Linked DNA regions of Danio rerio. The protein of the gene in region 1 purifies or fractionates together with the protein of each later gene. This does not show direct contact. Links are inferred from orthologs where the notes say so. Each region holds a gene or a part of one and is shown in the gene's direction. Other genes may lie near its edges.

Region 1 (6,309 bases):
CAAAGCCATCTTTAGTGCTAGTGGTGATTGTTCTACCATATTTGTAATTAGGAGATGATTTTGTAGACCTATCAATGCGCAATAAACAAGAGAATACATTGTGATCTGAAATATCATCACTGCTGCACAACTTCAACATTATCAATACCAATACCATGTGATAATATTAGGTCTAAGGTATGATTATGCTGATGACTAGGCCCTGGGACATGCTGTTCCACTCCAACAGAGTCTAGGATGTCTTAAACCCTGCTTACATTGGGATTTCAGCCACGGATTAGTCATCTGAGACAAATTTGGGAAATCCTCAAAGATTCCTAAAATTCTGTGCTAAAATCTGTGATTTTTGATTGTTGGTTTGATATGTTCACAGACAGTCACTAAGTGACTGATCAAATAACAAGCGGTGAAATGTCAAAACTGTTTTTTTTTCTTCCTGGTTTCATTATTGAGACATGCTGTGTGCAAAATTGCTACTACAGATTGTTTATGTTTGCTGTGAGGGATGACGTCAAACTCCAGGGGAGTTTTCTTCCATGTTTGTTGCATCTTCATTGTCATTCAGTCTGACATAATGACAGCTGAAATCTTACAATGTGACATGAATGCCATGTTCGTGCAGTCTGACATGCTACAATTGTTTAGGATTATAAAAAAATTGTAGTGTGAGCCAGCCTTAAGAAGGCCAGACTTAAAGCATCTTTTTCATTTTCTGTATGAATATTAAAATCACCAGCATTTAAAAATGTATCTGTGGCCAGAAATATTTCTGATAAGAAATCAGCTAATTCTTTTGTAAAGTCGGTATGGTGCCCTGGAGGCATATATAGAGTTGACAATTTAAATTTAGATTAAAATTTGTTTAAATTGCACACTGAAATATACAACACTATTACTTCAAATGAATTATATTTTAAGTCAGGTTGCTAAGTAACACTAAAAATATTACTGTATATTATGCCAACATCTTTGCCTTTAAGACACAGCTCGTGTTTTTAATTATATCATTCAGGTGAAGACTCATTTAGGGTCATGAAATCGTTAGGTTTTAGCCAGGTTTCTGTTAGATAAAGTGCATCTAGCTTTAGATGAGTTATGAAATGATTAAAAAAAAGAGTTTTATAGGTGAGTGATGTTCAATAATTCAAGTTTTATCTTTTGATTACCTTTATTTTCTATTTGATGAACATCAAATAGATTGTTTCCTTTGAATGGGTTTGGAAGTTTTTTTTTATTTTTTATTTAGAGGTTCAAAGAACAGACGCAGTCTCTATGTTCTTATATCTAAGTGGCTCTATGTGCTGTGGATTATCTGAGTTAGATAAACTGTGGATGCTAGGCTGAATAAGCGAATCTGTCCACTCCCTAACCTGGGCCCCAGTTAATCAAGAGCCAACACTAAAACTATATGCCAGATTACTAGAGAGGAGAGTTGCCCCAGCCCCGGTGGGATTAAGACCATCTCTCTTCAACAGGTCAGGTCTACCCCAGAAGCTTGGCCAATTGTCTACAAAACTTATGTTATTCAGTTGGCTCCACTTTGACATCCAGCCATTTAGTGATAAGAGTTGGCTGTATAACTCGTCAACACCATAAGCGGACAAGGGACCAGAGCATATTACGGTGTCTGACATTGTCTTTGCAAGATCACACACACACATTTACCTGACTCCAGCATATATACAACAGCAAAAAGAATCACAGTAAGACAGAAGTATGCTTGGTCAATATATGTGATCATACAAAGACAAAAGATCTGTCGTTAGTCTAATTTTTTTTTCTAATAAAAAGTAAAGACACAAAAGTAATAAAAATACATTCCTTTTTTTATCTCTCTCTCTCTCTCTCTATGCATACACATGCATATATATATATATATATATATATATATATATATATATATATATATATATATATATATATAGATCCACGCCAAGATTGTAAGAATGAGGTGGTCTCATGTTTATTGAAATTAACTCTGGAGTGGATCAATTGTAGGGAGAAGGCAAAACCATCCAACGAACTAACAAACCAGGCTATATCACAGTGAAGAGAGAATTATGAGTAGGGGTGGTATGTCATTCCTACCGGTAAATGTGCGTTTCTTGTCAAATGCGATATTAAAACCATACTGAACTATTAACAACAGCTGTTTATTTACTGAACTGCAGTCTTGGTTGATCTGTTATTTCTCTAAAATGAAAAACTGTACAAAAGCACGCACATCCCTCTAAACTGGGTGCTCAGCCAAAAAACGGCAAAGGCGGCAACACTAAAGCTCCAAAAATACAAATTTATTAAATTAAAAAGCTGACACAAAGCGTGTAACATTTCGAGTCACATGGATCTTCATCAGACAGTGATCTCTATCATGTAAAGCCTATGCATAATTCTAGCCATCATCTATGTATGAGAAGTCTGATTTATATTTGGTGACTATGTCTCTGGGTGTCACCATTCAAAATTAAAGCGCACATTTTCACTTATAATATCTTTTTGCTCATTGCCATAAATTAAAATAAGGACAGGTGAATGGGACTCTGCAGAGTAAACCTTGAAACTGACCAATGTGAGGAGAGTTTATTTCCATGTGACCTGTTTCAGTTATTTTGTTCCATTTAGAAATGTTGCTTTGTGAAATAAAATGCACCAAGAGCAAAGTGCAACATTGTAACAATTTGAGTCCAGTTTCAGAACAAAAGAATTGATCTGCAGGTGTGAAAGCACCCTAAAACAGTGCTTTATTTATGTATATTCATGTAGAAGTATTATATCTTGCTTCCTACTGTTCATAAATAAACAGGATACTGTGAGCAAGGTCCTACAAAGAATTTTGTGAACTTCTGCAGATATGCCTTGCTTATTGGTTTGGGTGAAAAGTGCACACTTTGTAACAATTAATATTAATTATTTTAAGGTGGTGTTGCTACACCTGAGGAAAAGCCCACTAAGGAAGCTCCACCAAGGGGATTTCGTGAGCTTAAAGAAGCCCTAAAGATTTTGGAAAGTTTAAAGAACATGACTGTTGAGCAGCTCTGGACTGGATCACCAACCTCTCCCACAGCAGAACCATCAGCTGCAACTGCTGCCACAGCTTCTGCTGATATCAAACCCACAAAGGAAAAACGCTTTCTGGATGACATTAAGAAACTTCAGGAGAATTTGAAAAAGACTCTAGACAATGTTGCCATTGTTGAAGAAGATAAAATGGAGGCTCCCGTAGAAGAGGAAAGGATTATCACTCCAGTGTTAACTGAACCACAGACACCTGTGCGTTCTGAATGGCCTAGTGACACTCCAGTTTTGTGCCAGCAGAGTGGAGGCAAACCAGGTGTCACCTTTACCAGTGCTAAAGGGGAAGTGTTTTCTGTTTTGGAATGGGTACCAGGTACAGACTTTTTTGTTGTTGTAAGTTTTGCTTTTTTAAATAAGCATGACAAAGCAACTTGGAATTACTGACTTGCTTGTGTTATTTGCTTAAATGTAACATTGAAAGTCAGCACTGCAACTCCTTTTTTTCTATACATTCTTTATTCTATAGTTTTATTCTCTAATTTAAAAAAAAAAAACTTTTCTCTTTTTATATAGACACCCACTCATTTAAAAAAATGGAATTTCAGCCAGCAGAGGCAAAGAAGTTCTTTAGCACTGTAAGGAAAGAAATGGCCTTGCTGGCCACCTCTCTGCCTGATGGTATCATGGTGAAAACCTTTGAGGACAGAATGGTGAATGTGACATGCACACAACCTAATTTGAAATAGACTATTCCTAGTACATTATTAAAATTATTCTAAAATGTCCCTTAAAATAAGGGATATGATTAGTCATTTTTAATTATGCTTTTCTGTTTTTAGGACCTTTTTTCAGCTCTCATTAAGGGCCCTCACCGCACTCCCTACGAGGATGGACTCTTTCTCTTTGATATCCAGCTTCCTAATATCTATCCTGCTGTTCCTCCTCTTTTCCGTTATTTGTCTCAGTGTAGCGGGCGGCTTAATCCTAACCTTTATGATAATGGAAAGGTTTGTGTCAGCCTTCTTGGCACCTGGATTGGAAAGGTGAGATAACCTGCTGTCTTATCTAACTTCTGACTGACATATTCCTGAATTTTCACTACCCCATTTAGGGTTGGGTACCAAAATGTAACCGATATGCATTGGACTGCATTAGCATATGAATTTCGATGCCTAATTTCAGTGGCACTGGTGCTGCGGAAAAGGACGAATAAGCCTCAAGGGGTATATCATGTTGTTTTAATGGAATTTGATACTGCATGCTGAATATAAATAAAAAACCTCCGCATTTTGTGATGCAGGTCTCTTTAGTCCTTTACTGACTCGATAGGTTTAGAGAGTATCAAAAGCCATGTGTGTATTGAATATACTGATGCCAGATGTGACAAAGTCCTTCATGATGGTACCAATTTGATTAAGGTGTTTACATGTCTCTACAGCACCTCAATAATGCCACTAAAATAGGAATACTCCACGTCTTAATTCCATTTCTGTTTAGTTAGATTTGAACTTTAGTCTGATAAGGGTAACCAAAATTCACTGGAGGACTCATGGAGGACTCTTAAATTAAAATCATATTAAAATCAGATTATTAGTGTAGTATGCATGTAAACGCATAAATTCAAGCCCTAACCCTAAAAAAAAAAAAAATTCACTGAATTTGATGATAGCCTTTCCACAGGTTAGTAGTAAGCTAATGTAATGTTAATTACATAATGCAAATATTGCATTCATGTTAACAAGCAAATGATCAGAAGAAATATATTAATGCAATTCAAATATACAAAATATAAATACTTTACCCTTTAATTACTCTGTTCAATTAAAATGGTAAACAAAAATATATATATAAAAATGTATATAATGTATATTTTACCAGAGTTATCCACCATAATTTTATGACTCAAAAGTATCAGTTTAGGCACCCTTTTGGCACCTTTTCAAAAGTATCTATTTAGCACCGGTATTGAAATACCCCAAACAATACCCAACCCAAACCCCATTTAGTTGTTGCTTTACTTTTGTCCTAAAATAGAATGTTGCTTGATGTTCTCCATTGTGTTGTTTGAATAATGGTAAGTCTTAATATATGATTTTGTATCTTTTTACAGGGTACTGAAAGATGGACAAGCAAATCAAGTTTACTTCAAGTGCTTATCTCTATACAAGGTAAAAAAAGTGCACTCCAGTTATGTTGTTGATTGTATTAATTTATTGTAGTGCTGCACAGTGGATCTTGTTTTTATGGTTCTGTTATTGTTTCTACACCTTTAGGTCTGATTCTGGTCAATGAGCCATATTACAATGAGGCTGGCTTTGACAGTGACCGGGGACTTCAGGAAGGTTATGAAAATAGTCGCTGTTACAACGAGATGGCACTCATTAAGCTGGTACAGTCAATGACTCAGCTTCTTCAGCAGCCTGTAGAGGTCTTTCAGCAGGAAGTCTATGAACACTTTGCCTGCAGTGGTTGGCGGCTGGTCCATCGGCTGGAGTCCTGGCTAGAGTTAGATGGGGCAATCACAGATCATGCTCCACGATGTGGTGTTGGAAGCCTCTATGCAGAACCTCTAGAAGAGATCCCCTCAGTTCTTTACCACTGCAGTTCTAGCAAGCAGGACATACAAGTCGAAGAAGATTTTGAGGATTCGGGACTCAGTCTCTCTACAATGGCAACCAGTGGACCTACTGGTTTAACTGAAAAAGATTTGAGCCAGAACTCTGAGTGTGATAGTTCATTGGTGGGTGGTGCAGGATCAGAAATACCAGAAGTTCCTGAAGTAATGTCAAATTTTTTGGGATCTCAACAAAGTGTAAAATCATGTCAGGAGTCTCAACCAGCTGTGAGACCAAAGAAAAGGAGAAAGAGTTATCGTAGTTTCCTTCCAGAGCGGAGTGGTTATCCTGATATTGGATTCCCCCTCTTCCCTCTTTCCAAAGGTTTTGTAAAGAGCATGTGTGTAGTTCTGCAGCATTATCGAGCTACTCTCACAGCTGCTGGTGTTCCTGAACACCCAGAAAACAAATAATTTCCCTCCAGAATTTTTTTTCTCCCTCGTTAATCAATCAGTTTGCAGCGCTTTCCCACCTTAACCCACTGTAGGAACATTTATCTCCTTATCAGCCCACCTATTCTCCCAGCAACCTTTATTAATTTTTGTACTGAATCTTTAGTTGCTTCAGTTTTTGTTCTGTACATAGTCTTTAAAATTATTATCTTTACTGACAACAATGCTGCCATCGCACTGCTCTCTCAGGGAAGTACAGATGAAATGCACATAGATTAGTCATTTAG
Region 2 (6,309 bases), on another chromosome or scaffold:
TTCATTTTCCTTCGACTTAGTCCCTTTATTCTTCAGGGTTCGTCTCAGCGGAGTAAACACCAACTTATCCAGCAAATGTTTTACACAGCTGATGCCCTTCCAGCTGCAACCCATCACTGGGAAACACCTATACACACTCGTTCACACACATACACTACAGACAATTTAGTTCACCCAATTCACTTATAGCGCATGTCTGTGGGAAGCACTTGGAGGAAACCCATACGAACACAGGGAGAACAAACTCCAGCAGAAATGCCAACTGACCCAACCAGGACTCGACCCAGTGACCTTTTTGCTGTGAGGGGACAGTGCTAAACACTGAGCCACCATGAAAGGAGTCTTAAAAACATACATGAAAGCTTATTGCTGCTTCGAGAAATATTCCTTTTTCAAATTGCCGTACTGCAAGACTGCAGTTATTGTTTGTTTTTTAAGTTAGACCAGTTCAGATTGTAGAACACTAAATAAAATCATTTCAGAATTTAAAAAAAATCAGCACATTAAAATCTGAAGGATCATATGAGACTGAAGTAATGACCGCTTCTCATTTACCAGCTAGCCTTTTGATATCTTATATGAACTGTATTACTTCTTGCTGTCACACTTTTGTCACACTTTGCCTGTTCATTGTGTAAAGAAATTACCCTTGCATTAAGGTTTTAAACCTTACACATGCAGATGTTTCCATCTCTCTGTATGACTGACCTCTCATTGTTTAGTGAAGCTCACTGAATCAGTTCTTATCCACAGAGGCTGCAGCTCGACTCAAGCAACTAGAGATTGAAAACACTCCAGTGTCTGTTCCAGCCAGAACCAATGTCAACCTCAACATGAACAACCAGGTCAGAGCAGCCATCCAGAAGCCCCTTGCACACACTGAAAACAAAGCTTTTTGTAAATGGTGTTTTTCCAATATGTTTCCTCATCTCGTATGACTCCATAGCATATAATTAAAGCTCCACATAGTCTTTAAATACAAGAACCAGAGACTCTCTTGGCCACACTAACCTCAGGATGTATATTACATTAAATAGTGAATAGGGAAGATGATTACTCATGCTATTACTGCAGTCAGTGATCTCTATATGCTTTTCAGCTCAGTGTCATTTAAGGTTTATTCAGCCTGGTCTATATAATTTAAATCCTTCTTCTGTCACTAAATTTATCCCTATAAGTAATCTGATAATTAAAATTGCATAGTGAAACTTTGTGGAAAATCAAATCCATCTTAAAATGGCTTGAATGTTACTGTAAACTAGGATACAATTTTGTTTGCTTAGTAAAAGTTAACTGTAAATGCTATATACAGTAAAGGCAAATTGAGGTCTTGGTTTAATGGCTATTGCTATGTCAATTTCATAGAGAGATTTATCTAATGCCAAATTATTTATTGGCTAAAATTATCCAGGGAACTCTTTCTGAACAGATTATGTGACTTATCTGTTCTACACAATCAAAGACTGTCTTTTATTTTCATAATTAGTTTTTTTAGGATTTTTCCCCCTTTATTTGATAGGAAGTAGAGAGGGAGACAGTAATGACTTGGCAAAGAACCTCGAGCTAACAATCAAATTATAAATAACAATCATGCTATATGTCAGCACACTGACATCTTTCTGCATTTTTTTTTTAAATTACTTTATTTTAAGGTTTATATTTACATGTATACACACACAGAGAACAAGAACAAACATTGGTTCATACTGTAGATATACAAAGACAATATAAAGGAAAAGAAAAGAGACAACAACAACAAATTGCATCATAGTCACAAAACGTACAATCAGAACTAGAGAGGGTATATAACTATATATATATATATATATATATATATATATATATATATATATATATATATATATATATATATATATATATATATATATATATATATATTTATATATATATATATATATATATATATATATATATATATATATATATATGTATATATATATATATATATATATATATACTCAGAGGGGTCACTGGATTGTTCTTGAGATATAGATTTGTAAAATATATCAAACAATTGACCACAAGTAGCTAAAAATTAAGAAGCTTGTCCTTAAAAATCTGACTCTCCATCTGAATAACAGATATCATGTCGGAAATCCTTTACTGCAGATTTTAAAAGAAAAAGCTAGTGGTAGTTGTCGTAGACTACATTTTGGTTTAAGCATGATAAAACAAGGTAGATGTAGACAAAGTTAAAGCTACATTTTCAAAACAAAGGTCATAAATGCACAGTGCAGACAGATTCATCCTCAGAAAACATTTACTGTTTTTTTTTTTTGTTTTTTTTTTTGGCTTGGTTGTTTTTTTTTTTAATTATAGCAGTTTTGCTCTAATTTAAATTTTTCCTTCAGCTCTTATACTTTTAAATTAAACTCATTTGTTGTTGAGTGAAAGAAACTTGAATGTGTTCAAAATGTTTGTGTTTAGGGCCAACTGTAGCTTATTGTACATTATGTATTATTGAAATTCTCAAATGAGACTGAATTAGTGTTTCTCAAATAAAACCCCACTGCACCTTAATTGTTTTCTTTAATTGGCTTTAACTTGCTCTGGCTTATTTTCAGGAAAACACAGACATTGTGTGCAATTGTGTGCAGGATGATGTGGTGAAACTGACAGAGAAAAGTTTGAACAGTGTGAGCAGCAGTCCTGTCCTGAATCAGCTCAAAGCTCCTGACGAACTCAAGAGCAACATCCTGAAAGCTCAGGCAGAGGCAGCACTTAAGGTATTGACATGCTATTAACACTCATAAGCACTTGAACATTCAGCTTTTCATTTTTTTTAAGGGGATCTCACATTTTATTAGTTCTCTACATGATATACTGCGTGAGTATTGGTACTGTATATGTAAATGACATGTAAACTGGTGATTTATGAATCTAAATGTGTGTAAATGTTCATCTCTTTGTTCAGGATTCAAGAGATGAGCTTGGACTGACTCCAGACAAGAACTGTAACCTGCAGGAAGCAGCAGCCAGGTATAAACACTGTTGTACGTCTGCCTGAATTAAAGACCCAAGCCAGAGATGCATTTAGTTTTTAATAATCTTTATTCTAATTACACCTTCCAACTTGTGATCTTATTTCTGCTTCTTCTTTACTGTACTTCAAGTTGTATGTCAAGTTGGGATCCATTATTTTATAACTGAACTGTTTTGTCTTCTACTTTACAATCAAATCTCTACTTTTTAAGTAACACTATCATTATAAATTGCAATATTGCAGTTGAAAGGTTAGGTAAGGTTTAGTCACTATTTTGATATATTGTAACATGCACAAGCATTTGTCTTTTTAAGGCCAATTCACAGCTGTAACAGATGCCACATTTGTGTCCAATAACACATTGTATCGGCATGTTACCATTGTCTGATTAGTTGGTGTTAGTCGGTGGTCATTTCTGTTGATTGTAGATGTTCATTGGCATTTACCAGACTCTTGTCTGCATTGATTGGCTTCTGTCAGTTCACTAAAGGGTTGTCTGGTTTGTATAACAAAACCTGCCTAACTGCTGATCAAATGACCTGAAAGTGATCCAGCCAGGGGGTAATCTAAAATATTATTCGTTTTCCTTCAGTTGAACCCAATGGACTAAAATCCTTGCCAACAGTGTAAAATCTATAGACTTGGCAACATGGGTGCAGTGTGAATTGACATGATGGTTGTTGAAATGTATTCTTTTTAATAATGAAAATGAATAAATGATGGATGTGTCTGTGTCTTCATCAGATTAACCGGTCGTGGGGGCCGTATGGGAAGCACAACCTCTCTGCCAGTGAGTGGGAGAGCGGAGCGGCAGGAGTCCTGGGACATGCTCAAACAGCCCGGCCTGCTGCCATGCTCTACCAGCAGGTGAGACAGCACACAAAACCTTGGCAAAGTACAGTGAGAAAATTGTACTACTAAGAAGCCTTGCTTTGTTGTTTGAGTGTGTGGATTAAGACGTAGTAGGCCCATGTGAGGGAGCCTGCGGGTCTGTAATCCTCCTGGGACACAGTCAGAGGCAGTGGAGCACAAGAAGGCAGGCAGAATCTGGGGCACACCCAGATTAAATGGGCCACCTGGTCCTCCATCAAGCCGGGGCTTGTTTTATTTCTTTTGTATATGATCATACACTACTATTCAAAATATTAGGGTAAGGAAATAATACTTTTGTTCTGTAAGGACACATTAAATAGACAAGACTTATTTCCCTTTTACATTTACATTTAGTCATTTAGCAGTGGCTTTTATCGAAAGCAACTTGCAAATAAGGACAAGGAAGCAATTTACACAATATAAACGATATTATTGTCATTTTAAGACTATTTTATGCCACTCGTTATATAATGCCAGAATGACAATATAAAAGCATCACAATGCAAGGACTCTCTTCCAAAGAACACAAATTATTTTATTCTTAAAAATATTTGATTTATAGTCATTTTAGCAATTCAATTAGACTGTGAAAACGTGTATCATAAATAAATAATAATTATAATAAATAGATGTTAACAAAAAAGTGCTATAAAATACTATAATGTTAACCATACTGGCACTATCCAATATAGAGAGGTTGCGCGATCACCAAAAATGATTGTTCATTGCCATGTGTTGTGCGATAAGTCAATATATTGGCCTATAAATTTATAGCTGAGTTCATGGACACTCAAATTACATTTAGAAAACAAGTTTTTACATATTTCAGACCAATTTGTATCTTCAATTTCGTGACCTAAATCTTTTGAAGGAGAAGTACGTGAGTTTGACAGAGCTTTGTATATTTGTACAATGGGGAAAAATGTAAACTGATATAATCTTTCAATATTATTATATAATTTATTGCCCTAATTTATTGAATTTTTATGTTAATGCATATGTTCTGCGGCACCTCCTTGCTGTCTGTGGAGCCTTTAACTTCCACAAATTCCATGTTAGTTTTCCTGCTCTTCTCTCTAATTTCTGTTGTTGTCCCACTATTATAGACTACTTTAGTAATAGTTTTGGGTATTTCACTAGTTTAAGTGAGACTATTAGTATAATTGTTGGATGAGACGATGCACTATGATGCCATTCCATCAGTCACCAGAATGGGAAGCCTCCTTATTGTACTTCTATGGTACGGTCTGGTACGATACGGTTCAGTATGCTTTTATGGCCGTTTCCACTGTCAAAAGTTGTACCGAACCGTACCGTCCCACTTTTTCAACATCCTTTTGAAAGGGTACCAAACATGAGAAAGGGTACCAAAAGTTGGGGCTACACGCACAGCTGAATGCTGATTGGTGACAGAGGTACGTCACAAGCTCGTGTGGAGCTAGCCATAATGAAAACAAAGGAACCGCCATGTTTTATATACGGAGCCAAGACATTACACTGTAATACTATATGCATATAATAACAAGCAATGGATGACCCAAGCTCAAACAAAACTTGTCGTTGTCTTGATGCACAGGCACAAAGCCAAGAAGAACAAAATCTGCTGTGTCCTGTTGTTGTTCTACAAGGCCGCCGAAAAGTGCGAGCTGTTTTGGCTTTCTTCAGGAAGCTTGCGATTGCGTCTATATTTGATATAACGAACTTTTGAAGTCAATGATAATAACGTGTGTGTGATTAAAGGACAAGCGCGAGAGTGAAACGCAAACAAACAAAGGAGAAGCCCGACAAAACACAGGAGCAAATTGTTTCAGCAACCTGAATCACGAACAAACTGCCATGTTTATCATCGCCTTTTGGATTATTATGAACTCGGAATGACAGAATTACTCCCTAAGATGGTGGTGAAGATTACAGATATAGATAAGAGGTTTGCACTGACTGTGGTCTATGTTGTGTGTAGTTTTTGAAAGTAAAGTACTAAATGTATGCTTTGTGTTGTTTTTCTGTAAGTGGTAACATATCAGAGACTGTAAGAGTCTGTATGTGTTCATGTTGCATTTATACATTTATTATTTTATATAATTGCAGACGTTACAGTAGGATATTTCACACTGTCATGGATCTGCATATGATATATGAACGACCTGTACATCTTTACTATAGATATTTATTCGAGCGAGAATGACGTCGACTAAAACTTTCTCACACCACGCCCACCCTTGGTAGTGGAAACGCAAGCCTGATAAAGGTGACCCGTACCGTACCATACTGTACCAGTCAGTGGAAAAGGGCCATAAATCAAATAAATGCAGCCTGGGTGAGCATAAAAGGCTTCAAAAATATTTTTAATTAGCATATTAGCTAGGTATGCTCATTATAACCGATTAACCGTTTACTAAAAGGGTGCGTTTTTAACCGATTAATGGTATCAG
Region 3 (5,409 bases), on another chromosome or scaffold:
AGGATTGTAAATGTTTTTCATAATGCTCATCACCTCCCTTTCGCCTCCAGCAAGATGATCACCCAGCGCTCCTCCTGCTCGTATGGAGATAGTGTGAAAATCTCTTGCTAAAGAAACACGACTTCTCACAGTGGAGTCTTGAAAGACATTTTCATCCGCTGTGAGGAGCCGACAGATTGTTTATATCCCATCATCTGATTGGCTTCAGCTGGAGTTTTTTTTTAAATATAGTGAGGAACCCAGTTGTCTTAAACCAGGGGTGTCCAAACTTGGTCCTGGAGGGCCAGTGTACTGGAGAGTTTAACTCCAACCCTAATCAAACACATCTGAACAAGCTAATCAAGCTCTTACCAGGTATACTAGAAACTTCCAGGCAGGTGTGTTAAAGCAAGTTGGAGCTAAAGTCAACAGGACACCGGCCCTCCAGGACTTACTTTGGACAGCCCAGTCTTAACGAGTTTTACATGAGCCTCAGGTTTCTTAGGAACATTTACCATTATTTATTTGGGTCAATGTGCCAGCAGATATTTGAGTCTCTTGCATTGCAAAAAAATAAATAGTCTGAAAGAACTTGGATAAAGCTTATTAGTGCAGCTCATGAAATCATATTTTAGGTTTAAGATGACAATTCAGTTATGATGCATGTTTTAATATTGTTATTACTAAAATAAGTATTAACTTTTTATATATAATGTAAATATTGATTGTTGAATTTGAACCTTTTGTGGAGGATACTTTTTTTTTCCTTTAGCTAAATTTATAATAATAATTGATAATTAGTGCAGGGCTAAATTGATTGCATCCAAAACAAGCGTCGACCGTGGATGTACTGTGCATATTTATCTACATGATAAATTTTTGTCTCTAATGTTTATTTTTTGTGGGTTGCATGAATACATGCATTCATGCATATATTGGAGTGTTTGTTTGGATATAAAATGTATAAGATGCAAATTTACTTATGCATTTTAATCTATGTAATAATTGTTTTGTTTTTCCATCACATAAATAATAAATACACCAATATATTACGTGAACTTTTTGTTTTGGATGCAAGTAATCTTTGCCCAGCCTTTAATAATATTTTGAGTAAATCTCAATGATGATAATCATTTGAGTAAATCTTAATGATTGTCATCAACTTTCTATATTTCTATATGAATTGCTTATTCCCGGAGTTTTTTTGAATAGTTTAAAAGAATCATTCATTAATAACGCTTAATTTAGTGTTGCATTTAGTCATGACTGGCCTGAACCAGCTAATCCTTAACTGAAAAATACTTTCATTATCATAAAGAAAAATCAACCTGTCTCTGTCAGTATCACGCAGCCCTATATTAATCAATGCATTCATTGACACGCTTGAATATGCAGATCTAACATTTGTGTTCTCTTTTTAGCCGTGTTGTCCGCAAGTCCATCGCCAGAGTCCTCACAGTCATCAACCAGACACAGAAGGAGAACTTGAGGAAGTTTTACAAGGTCAGTTTAATGCTGATGATGCAATCATCTGCAAATCTATAGATTTTTGTCACTGGAGGGGACTATTTGTGTATTATAAAAAAAATAAAAATTATGAAGACTGGTGAAAACGGTTTCATATTGACAATCCAAATATAATCTGGAACCCCATTATGTTACTGGAAATTTTTGAAGATGTGGTTGTTATCTTAATAAATTAGCTTAATTTGACCTTTAACCAAGTGAGAACCTGTAATGAACATTGCTTTATGGGAATCCAGTGATGAATTGTAAAGCCGTGACTCCTCAGCACATCAGTGCGTCTCCAGCAAGATGATCACCCAGCACTCCTCCTGCTCGTGTGGAGACGGTGTGAAAATCTCTTGCTATAGAAACACGACTTCTCACAGTGGAGTCTTGAAAGACATTTTGATCCTCTGTGAGAAGCCGACAGAACATTTATATCCCGTCATCTGATTGGCTTCAGCTGCAGTTCAGTTCTATTGGAGTGGAGAGCCTAGTTGTTTTGAAAAGGGATGTTACAAAAACATGTAAAACGGAATAAACTTTAGCTGCAACAGTGATTCGTTTTCATTATACCAGCCTTGTTTAAACCAATATTGGGTGCTTCTATATTAGGATATGTTCATATTTCTGAGGTTTTTCCAAGTAATTGTCAAAAGAAAAGTTTTAATTTTTACAAATTCTCTCACGCAACATATCTTATATTCTCAATTGAACGCCTTCATATTTAAAAATAAAATAGCATTATCAGGGTTTCTGCAGGGTCCTAATGTGTTAAATCTCAATCAAAATTCACAGAATTGTGTTGTAGGTCTTGTATCTTTTTTTTTTTTTTTTTTAAATGGGTCTTAATTTTTCTTTGTTCATGTAATGCTGCCAAAACCCATACAATCAACAATCCATCTCCAAACTTTCACATTTGTATATAAAAAGGTAATTTTTAACTCTATCATAGTGGTATAATTCCTTACAATATGATTTGTTTAAAAGTGCTCCATGTAATTACTGCTGAAGACCCTGACCTGGACAGATTGTTGTGCATGCATTTAGTTTATTATAGTTTTTAAACTGAATGTTTGTTAATTTTTTTTTTAAGTTTAAGTTGGAAGAAATGTATATGGATGCAAGTAGAACTGGCTTTTTTACACCATATTTAAAGTATTTGCTGAGAAATCTAGTCAATTTTATTCATTTATTATTGTATTATTAAATGTATTTAATTATAATATATATTTTTTGATAGGGCAAATAAAAATCATTTCCATCTGCGCCATTTAAAAAAAATTTCTTAACCTTTAGCCTTTTATGAGTCTAAAATTTCATTCATAAAAGTCTTAATGTCTTAAAGTCTTGAATTTAACTTGGTGAAACCTGCAGAAACATTGATTATATTCCATTGCCAGAATTTTTTACACATTCTCTGAATACAAAAATTTAATATTTTTTATTATTATAGTTGTTCTCAATTAAATGTGGTTGAACAATTTTTATGTTTTTAAATATTACAAATTTTTCTATTTTACAAGTTTTTATTTATTTTTATTTGCTGAATCTTTACCAGTAGCGAAAGGAAAATCCACAACATGAGTTTCAAAGGAGTAAATCTGCAAGAATTATATTGGTCAGACAAATATGCTAAATTAGTTTAAGAAAACAGCGAGTCCAAGATGCCTGAAAAATTTTGGGAAAAAATATGAAAAAGCCTTCATTGAGATGGGTATTACTTGGAATTGCCATATCAATAAAGACTTTTTAAAATGTATTCCAAATTTTCAGTGCCTTGGACTTACCTTTGCTGTTTATTCCGGATAATCTCTTATCCAATGAGCACCGACGCCTCTGAGAACTTTTTGTTTGATTTTTAGTTTCAGTAGTATTGCTAAAATACAGATGGAACAATTTAAAAGTCTTGGAGTGCTTCAAATTTTGAATGCACAAATTGTGATGTGGGTTGTTTCTGGGAATATTTAAGCAAATAAATAAAGTCAAGATTGAAGCATGTTCTGTGTTCCTCAAATCATGTTTAATCCAGGAAAATTGGTATTTGGAACTGATTTCATAATGAATCATGTCTAAGCTGTAAAATTGAAGTAAACTGGGCTCTTAACTTTTCAGGGTAAGAAGTACAAGCCTTTGGACCTGAGACCCAAGAAGACCCGTGCCATCCGTCGTCAGCTCACAAAACACGAAGAGAACCTGATGACTAAGAAGATGCAGAGGAAATCTCGTCTCTACTCCATTCGCAAGTTCGCCGTCAAGGCATAAAAAAAGCTGTACTTTTGTTTTTCCACTGAAAAATAAAATCCCCCGCTCACCCTGGAGTCAAGATGTGTCCTGAGTCATTGTGTTTCATAAGCAGGAGCAGATAAATGACAGACTAGCCTCATCTAGAGCGTAGGTGTCACTTCTGGATTTGTTCTCCCTTTTTCAGTTGTGTTCTCTTCCTCTTCTTCCTCATTGAGCTGCTCAGAGCCGCTGGTCAGAAGCTCTCCATTAGGGGTGAAAACACAACCATATGCTGAGTCCTTATGACCCTAAAACACGCGCACAGACACACATCAACATTATCGTCATCATGAAGCTCTATGATGCCATAATCACCAGTCAAAGATGCTTAATACTGCATTTTCACCAATGTTTTTAAACTCTGTATGGCAGATGCGGATGTCTTTTTAATGTACAGTTTGTTGAAAAGTTAATGAACAAGTGTCTGGTTTGTTTTTTATTTCTTGTCAGACCATTAAATTTAATTAATTTATGCTTATTCCGTAATTTAACCTGGCAGGCAAGTTATTGCTGGTTCATAATCAGCATAATTTTCCATATCGGTCTGATGTTTACATTTTGCAAGTATTTATTATCCAATTATGTAAAGGTTCTAATAAGATAGTGCATCCCTACCTGTAGCTTCTTCACACACTCCCCAGTGCTCATATCCCAGATCCTCACCTGATAAACATATAACCAAATCAAACTCTGATTATGAAGACCTAGTTTTACCCTATTAAGGTGGTTAAAAGGGAAACGGTTAATCCTGAAATTAAAATGCTTTCACTGGGTCCTTTTAAAATTGTCACAGATTTCCTGTAAATGTTTGGTTTAGGGGTATGAGAGGTAGGTCCATTAAATAAGCAGTTTTACTGTATAAAATACATTACGCTTATGGAGTGTCCCTGTAAACCATGTTTACGTGTATGTGGTCCTGCCGTACAGTTTCGTAGGGACCAAATGGACCCACAAGCAGTGTTGGGGAAAGTTACTTCTAAAAATAATGCATTATAATATTGAGTTACTTTCTAAAAAAATAACTAGTTGCATTACTTTTTATGGTAAGTAATGCTTTACGTTACTTTTCATTTACTTTTACATCACTTTTTCTGACCTTTGCTGATGTTTTGACACATCTCCTTCAGAACTTGCAGGGTTTGTAATGAGTTACCCTTAACACTGCCCCCAACAGGTAATACCACTAAATTTAGACTATTTTATTTAATTATTTATTTTTAAAGTTCCTAGATTCTGCAGGTTACAATGTTCCGATTTTGCTTGCCAATCTTAAGCCTATTGTAATGGTATGTTTTGGTTAAATTTGGAATTTCCCCAACCAATCACAGAGCCCAGGGCACCAGAGTGAGTGCTCCGACTTGGCCCTGCCCTGGTCCTAAATTAAGTAAGTAAAATCAAGTATATTGTAAAATGTTTCGGGGAAGAGGATAGAATATACAGTATAAAAATCATTACGTCTATGGGAAGACGTAACCCAATGTGTGTTTGGTTTACCATGTCGCCTTCAGCAGTAGATGCTAAAACCCGTCCATCAGTGGAGAAGGCCAAACTCCTGACCCAAACACGCTCACAGCCTCCCAACACAAACAGACACGTGTGACGTTCCGGCAGCCAAACACGCACAGTGCCGTCCCATGA
Region 4 (6,309 bases), on another chromosome or scaffold:
CGTAACTCCTAACTGAACTATCATAGTATGATGCATCGTTTGGGAAAAGAACGATGTAGTGACCAGTTTCCCAAAACTGTAGTTGCTCTGACGCAGATCCATCATTTGAACCACATTAGTTATAACACAAAACATCCATAATGACGCTCTAAACGGAGTTGGAGGGACAACTTCTTTAGAGAAAATGCCCATAATATTTTGTGCAAATTATATTGTTTTTCAATGCACATGGGTTAAAAAAATACAATATTAGTTTTGGTAAAAGCATGCACTCATTTTCCATATTTGTTCAAATTTACTGTATGTAAATGGCACATATAGGACAAATATTTCCTTTACAAATATTATTGAAAAATTCCATATTCTATTCTAAAACATAAAACCACTTTGCTAACACTTGTTCAAATCTCATATATAAATCATAAAAATCCGTAGGCTAATGGTTATAATTTACAGTGGGCTATTTACTCAGAAATTAAAAAAATTCTGCTTGATGATGATAATAATAATAATAATAATAATTGTTTATTTGTTTTTATTATTATTAATATTAAGTAGGATATTGTTTATTTATTTAAAAAAAATCATGATCCATGGGAGTGTTAAAAATGGCATAAATGTTTTCAAAGAGCACTACAAAGGGAAGGCAATTTTCAATATGAAGATCACTAAAACCGAACTGTAAAAATAGAGATGATTTTAATGTTGTTGTTGTTTTTTTTTTAAAAATAATTCCAAGTTTAACTGTTGGAACGTTCGAAAGGAATAGGGCATAGGGGGGATAACCAGGAATAGAACACAGCCAGGAACTCTGCTTCTAACCACAGCTCCAGAGGTGTAGTTGTAAGCATTCACGTTTGCGATGCAGTTTGCGAATGTTCGTTGGAATGACGAATTTAGGAAACACCAAATCAACGAACTATGTTTGTAACAACGAAACTTGCGACCTTAGTTAGCTAACAATGGTTTTCGGAAACCCTTATCTGCACAATTAATACATAATTCTAGTTTGACAGAAACGAATGTTCTTTTAAATCTCTGTTTTTATGTTTATAAAATGTTCACTGCTTTTTTGAGTCTTTAAAAAATCTATTTTGCTGAAGTCAAAAGTGCGTTCATTATGGCACACTTACCCTTAGTAAGTTTTAATCTGCTTTCAGATCTCATAGCCATGGGTTTTTACAACTAAATCACTATGAGTTTTATAAGAAGTGCTTAAAAGTAAACCAGATTTTTTTTTTTGGATCTGTTGATGTTTTCGTGTGTCTTCAGGTTTGTCCACACTGGTGGTTTTGTCCACTGGTATGGGCAAGTCTCTGTGTTACCAGCTGCCTGCATACCTGTACGCCCAGAGGAGCAAGAGCATCACGCTGGTGGTGTCTCCTCTGGTGTCTCTGATGGATGATCAGGTACTGCTGGAGGTTTATTACTACTGCTTACGACTCATTTCCAGCAAATAGAAAGTAGTTTGATGGATTTTTGAATTGTTTGTGAAGCTTTCTGGACTCCCGCCGAAGCTGAAAGCTGCCTGCATCCACTCCAACATGTCTGCGAAACAGAGAGAGGCGGCCATTGAGAAGGTAGAAGAGTAATACTAATAAAATGCAACTGATGTCCAATTTCTTGTTATACATACAGTAACGAAGGATAGAGAAATAATTTATTTATTTATTTTCCTTATTTTTTATAGTATTATCAATATACTGTTATATCACTTATAAAAAATATGTCTGTTTTTTGTTTTATAGTATTTTTCTTTCATTAATTTTGCTGTGTTTTTGGTTTTATTTGTAATATTTTTAATTTTATTAAGTTTATTTCTGTAAATTATTTCAGTGTAGCATTTCTCATTTAATTACTATTATTACACTATTATTTAATTTAAATTTAATTAATTTAAATTTAAATTATTTAATTTACTACAATTATTTATTTATTTATTTGTGTGTATTTATGTGTAATAAATTATGCACTATTATTTGACCATTAGAATTTTATTTAGATTTCATTCTTTTAGTTTTAGCTGTGTTTTTCTAGTAATGTTTTCTAGTAATTTATTTAATTTAATTTTATAGATATGTATTTAAATCTACTTTTTATTTTCAATGTTGGTATAAATTTTTACTAACTTCAAATAATTTTATTTTAGTAGTTGCCAAGGTAATATTTTAGTTTTATCTATGTGTGTGTGTGTGTGTGTGTGTAGGTGAAGGCAGGTCAGGTGCACGTCCTGCTGTTGTCTCCTGAAGCTCTGGTTGGTGGAGGTCACTCGGGCTCAGGGTGTCTCCCTCCTGCAGATCAACTCCCTCCGGTGGCCTTTGCCTGTATTGACGAGGCTCACTGCGTGTCTGAGTGGTCACACAACTTTAGACCCTGCTACCTGAGACTGTGCAAGGTGAGTCTCTCAAATCAGCCCAAATGATGTTCCTCCATGCGTGCAAGCAAGGCATAAAATTAAATGCTGCTGCGCCGTTCTTGGTTTTTCAACATTTCAAGCTGATTTTCTGATACAGATTTCAGATTTTTGTCATTTTTAATCAAATCTAAAAATTTTATAATTTCAAAATATAAAGTACAACACAAAATGATGTGACTTGATCTTTGTGTCTTTATGCTACATAAAAAAAATTACTAGTACAAGACAGAAATGGAGGACAGACTGAATGCAAGGAGAAATTAAACTAAACTAAATATTTATTTTTAGTTTTTTTTAAAACAAAGCCATAATTCATACAATAGATTAATCAGTGCACAAGTATCTGAAATGAAGCTCATGCATTGTACATTAAAAATAAATATATACTCTAGATTTAGATGGATGTATTCATTAATTAAATGAATAAAAATGCTATTTTTTTCAGACTTTTTTAGAAATAAAACCTAAACTGCCCAATCAGCAAAGCCTTACACTTGATGATCTATTTTTGTATTTTTAAAACCTAATAAAACTGTGTTAGGATAAAATTAATTTAGATCAATGTTTATTAAATGTGTTAAAGTTTTAGAAATAAAATAGTTTAAAGAGTAAGTCGTCAGCAATGCATATTACTTAGCAAAAATGAGGTCTTGATACAGTTACTGTTGGGAATTTACAACATATCTTCATGAAACATGATCTTTACTTACTATTCTAGTGATTTTGGACCCCAAAAATCATTAATTTTGAGCCTTGCTGCGTATTTTTAGTTATTTTGGCAAAGAGACTTGTGCAACATCATGCTGCGTTCACACCAGACGTGGAACGCGGGTCAAGCGCGAGTGATTTACATGTTAAGTCAATGCAAACGTGCGAATAGACATCCTGTGGCGCGATACACGCAAATGGCGCGGGGCGAATTGAGCGTTTTGCGCGTTTGACGCGCTTAACGAGCGTTTCGCGCGAATCTTTCGAATTCGAAAATCTGAACTTCAGAGTACATTCGCGCCGCGTTAACCAATCAGAAGCTTGCTCTTGTGGGGGCGTGATTGTGACGTACAGAACCTGTAGAATCCTCCAGCCTTCACCGACAACACTTCATCAAACTCGGCTTGGCTCAGTCAGAAGCACCGCTGAAACCCTCTGTCATCCAGGTTCAGTTTCTGAAGGAGTTTATGAGCTCACAGAGCTGGATGCACCTCTGAAAGGATGTAGTGGACTCAGACACGACCCTAAACGTATCGACGCTGTTTTTCAGTCTTCATAAAGCACACAAACACTGTTATTTCCTTCATAAAATCCATGTTAGCCATTTAGCTATGAAGCTAGAGTCTTCGGGCAGACAGAAGCCCCGCCCATCACGCGAATCCGCGTCTGTTCTGAAGTGAATTTGACACGCGAATGAAGCGAGTAAACTCAAATGTTCACGCGGCTATTTACGCACGAATAGCGCGATTTATCCGCGCGTTCCACGTCTGGTGTGAACACAGCATCAGACTGGTTTTGTGCTCCAGGGTGACAGAAGTGTTTGTGTTGTGCAGGTGCTAAGGGACCGGCTGGGCGTTCGCTGTCTGTTGGGACTCACAGCCACAGCCACTCTCTCCACAGCGCTGGACATCGCCAGACACCTGGACATCAGTGATGAGGACGGCATTGCTGTTCGCTCCGCTGCTGTTCCTCACAACCTCCAGCTCTCCGTGTCCATGGACCGAGACAAAGATCAGGTGCGCTCAGACTATTCACATGTTGTTTATTCATTCATTCATTCATTTTTCCTCCGCTTAGTCTCCTATTTATCAGGGGTCGCCACAGCGGAATGAACTGCCAACTATTACAGCATGTGTTTTACACACTTCCAGCTGCAAACCAGTATTGGGAAACACCCATACACACACACTCATACATTACGGCCAATTTAGTTAATCAATTCCCTTATTATGCATGTGTTTGGACTGTGGGGGAACCAGAGCACCTGGAAGAAACCCAAGCCAACACGGGGAGAACATGCAAACTCCACACAGAAACACCAACTGACCCGGCCGGGACTCGAACCAGCGACCTTCTTACTGTGAGGTGACAGTGCTAACCACTGAGCCACCGTGCCCCCTTCACATGTTGTTTTTTTTATTTTTTATTTAAAGGATAACCCTCTTGAGATGCAACATCTGTTCTTCAAGGGGGTTCCATAGAGACATGACAAAAGCAAAACAAAATACAAACATACAATTACAGCACAGAAGCTCTTCCAAACCCCAGACTTCTCCAGCTCTTTCAATTACAGTCAGAAATAATCTCAAATAGCCATTTGTCAATAAGCAATAAATCAGATTAGTCAGAAGAGAACCAATTTTTAATATATACATATTTAACATACATTTGTATGAGCATACATAAACAAATACATGCATAAGTAAACAAATACATGCATAAATAAACAAATACATGCATAAATAAACAAATACATGCATAAAACTATATAAAACAAATATTGAATCATATTAATATGTATATATTTTTTGTTTGTTTAAATGTTTTTGTTTGGTCTCATACAAAAGAAGGTAATGATTCGCACTCAATTGCTTCATACTGTTTTTATTTTTACTTTTTCTTACGTTTTACGGGTGATAACAGACAAACAGACGTTTCGGCACAATGCCTTCCTCAGTGTCTCAATGAGTTTGGTCTCATACAAAAATGTTAGTAATTTAATTATATTGTATTTAAAAATACTTATTTTTTGTAGTTATTTTAAGTTAAGCATTTTATAAATATTTAAATGCATTTCTCTTTCATTTTAAGTACTCGTATATTTATATGCGTTTCATCTAATACTTAAGCATAATATTTATTTAGTTTATAAATTTATTTTAATATAAATTTAAGCTTTTTTATTTGTTTTTTTACTTTCAGTAAACCATCACAGATACTCCAAATCCATTTTTGAATTGTCATCACTCATCATTCTCAAATTATGTCTGAATAATGGAAAACCTGCTGATAATCAAGATGCATTGTTGAACTTGAGCTCTCTCAGACATCCATATTGCCCAAAAATCTTGGTAATATACAGTTGAAGTCAGATATATTAGCCCCCCTGAATTATTCGCTCCCCTGTTTATTTATTTCCCCAATTTCTGTTTAATGGAGAGACGATTTTTCCAGCACATTTCTAATCATAATAGTTTTAATAACTCATCTCTAATAACAGATTTATTTTATCTTTGTCATGATGACAGTAAATAATATTTGACTAGATATTCTTCAAGACACTTCTATACAGCTTAAAGTGACATTTAAAGCCTTAACTAGGTTAATTAGGTTAACTAGGCAGGTTAGGGTATTGTATAACCATGGTTTGTTCTGTAGACCGTCAACAGTATTTATTTATTTTTTGTGCATGCAGTAATTTTAGTTTTGCTCCATGCATTTCTGAAACGTCTCCTTGTGTTCAGGCTCTGGTGTCTCTGCTGAAGGGTGAGCGCTTTGGAGCTCTGGACTCGGTAATCGTCTACTGCACCAGACGAGAGGAGACGAGCCGCATCGCTGCACTGCTGCGCACCTGCCTGCAGGGGGTGATGCTGAGAGAATCCTCCAAACACACAGCGCTGCAGGAGGACGACGACAACCCTGTGGGCAAGAAGAAGAAAGCTCTGGGTAAATACTGCAACGGTACAGTAGGGAGACATCTGTGACTTATTATTCATATCATTACTCAATCACAACAATAACTGCTGTTTTTACATTCTGTAGACATGTATACATGTTATTATAGTGACTTGTCGCCTGTCAATCAATTCGGTGGGTGGGGGAAACCGCACTCCTATGTCACGTTGCGGTGGGTCTCAAAATCACTGGGATTTGGATCCTATTTTATATTTATTACAAGAGACTAA

What was found. Proteins that work in one complex are often made in the same cells at the same time.
Region 2: the proteins of (E3-independent) E2 ubiquitin-conjugating enzyme UBE2O (region 1) and epb41l5 purify together in Homo sapiens (affinity purification with mass spectrometry; 3 studies listed by BioGRID and IntAct, counting the BioPlex papers as one, with this or other methods). This does not show direct contact. The link is inferred for Danio rerio from reciprocal best matches to the Homo sapiens genes UBE2O and EPB41L5.
Region 3: the proteins of (E3-independent) E2 ubiquitin-conjugating enzyme UBE2O (region 1) and rpl35 purify together in Homo sapiens (affinity purification with mass spectrometry; 3 studies listed by BioGRID and IntAct, with this or other methods). This does not show direct contact. The link is inferred for Danio rerio from reciprocal best matches to the Homo sapiens genes UBE2O and RPL35.
Region 4: the proteins of (E3-independent) E2 ubiquitin-conjugating enzyme UBE2O (region 1) and recql4 purify together in Homo sapiens (affinity purification with mass spectrometry; 3 studies listed by BioGRID, with this or other methods). This does not show direct contact. The link is inferred for Danio rerio from reciprocal best matches to the Homo sapiens genes UBE2O and RECQL4.

What each region holds. Positions count from the first base shown.
Region 1 is NC_133181.1:22,119,805-22,126,113, forward strand, and holds part of (E3-independent) E2 ubiquitin-conjugating enzyme UBE2O, read left to right. Parts: intron 1-2,917; coding exon 2,918-3,388; intron 3,389-3,588; coding exon 3,589-3,725; intron 3,726-3,854; coding exon 3,855-4,058; intron 4,059-5,125; coding exon 5,126-5,183; intron 5,184-5,288; coding exon 5,289-6,043; 3' UTR 6,044-6,309. UniProt on the Homo sapiens protein: E2/E3 hybrid ubiquitin-protein ligase that displays both E2 and E3 ligase activities and mediates monoubiquitination of target proteins. Negatively regulates TRAF6-mediated NF-kappa-B activation independently of its E2 activity.
Region 2 is NC_133184.1:30,554,467-30,560,775, reverse strand, and holds part of epb41l5 (band 4.1-like protein 5), read left to right. Parts: intron 1-753; coding exon 754-845; intron 846-2,585; coding exon 2,586-2,747; intron 2,748-2,935; coding exon 2,936-3,000; intron 3,001-3,748; coding exon 3,749-3,871; intron 3,872-6,309. UniProt on the Homo sapiens protein: Plays a role in the formation and organization of tight junctions during the establishment of polarity in epithelial cells.
Region 3 is NC_133196.1:7,130,636-7,136,044, reverse strand, and holds the end of rpl35 (large ribosomal subunit protein uL29), read left to right. Parts: intron 1-1,400; coding exon 1,401-1,482; intron 1,483-3,488; exon of another isoform or gene 3,489-3,600; coding exon 3,601-3,750; 3' UTR 3,751-3,804; downstream 3,805-5,409. Other genes in the region: wdr38 (WD repeat-containing protein 38), read right to left, coding at 3,873-4,019, 4,387-4,434, 5,266-5,409.
Region 4 is NC_133194.1:3,217,350-3,223,658, reverse strand, and holds part of recql4 (ATP-dependent DNA helicase Q4), read left to right. Parts: intron 1-1,272; coding exon 1,273-1,409; intron 1,410-1,496; coding exon 1,497-1,580; intron 1,581-2,206; coding exon 2,207-2,395; intron 2,396-3,957; coding exon 3,958-4,140; intron 4,141-5,868; coding exon 5,869-6,070; intron 6,071-6,309. UniProt on the Homo sapiens protein: An ATP-dependent DNA helicase which unwinds dsDNA with a 3'-overhang in a 3'-5' direction. Does not unwind more than 18 bp of dsDNA. May modulate chromosome segregation. The N-terminal domain (residues 1-54) binds DNA Y-shaped DNA better than ss- or dsDNA.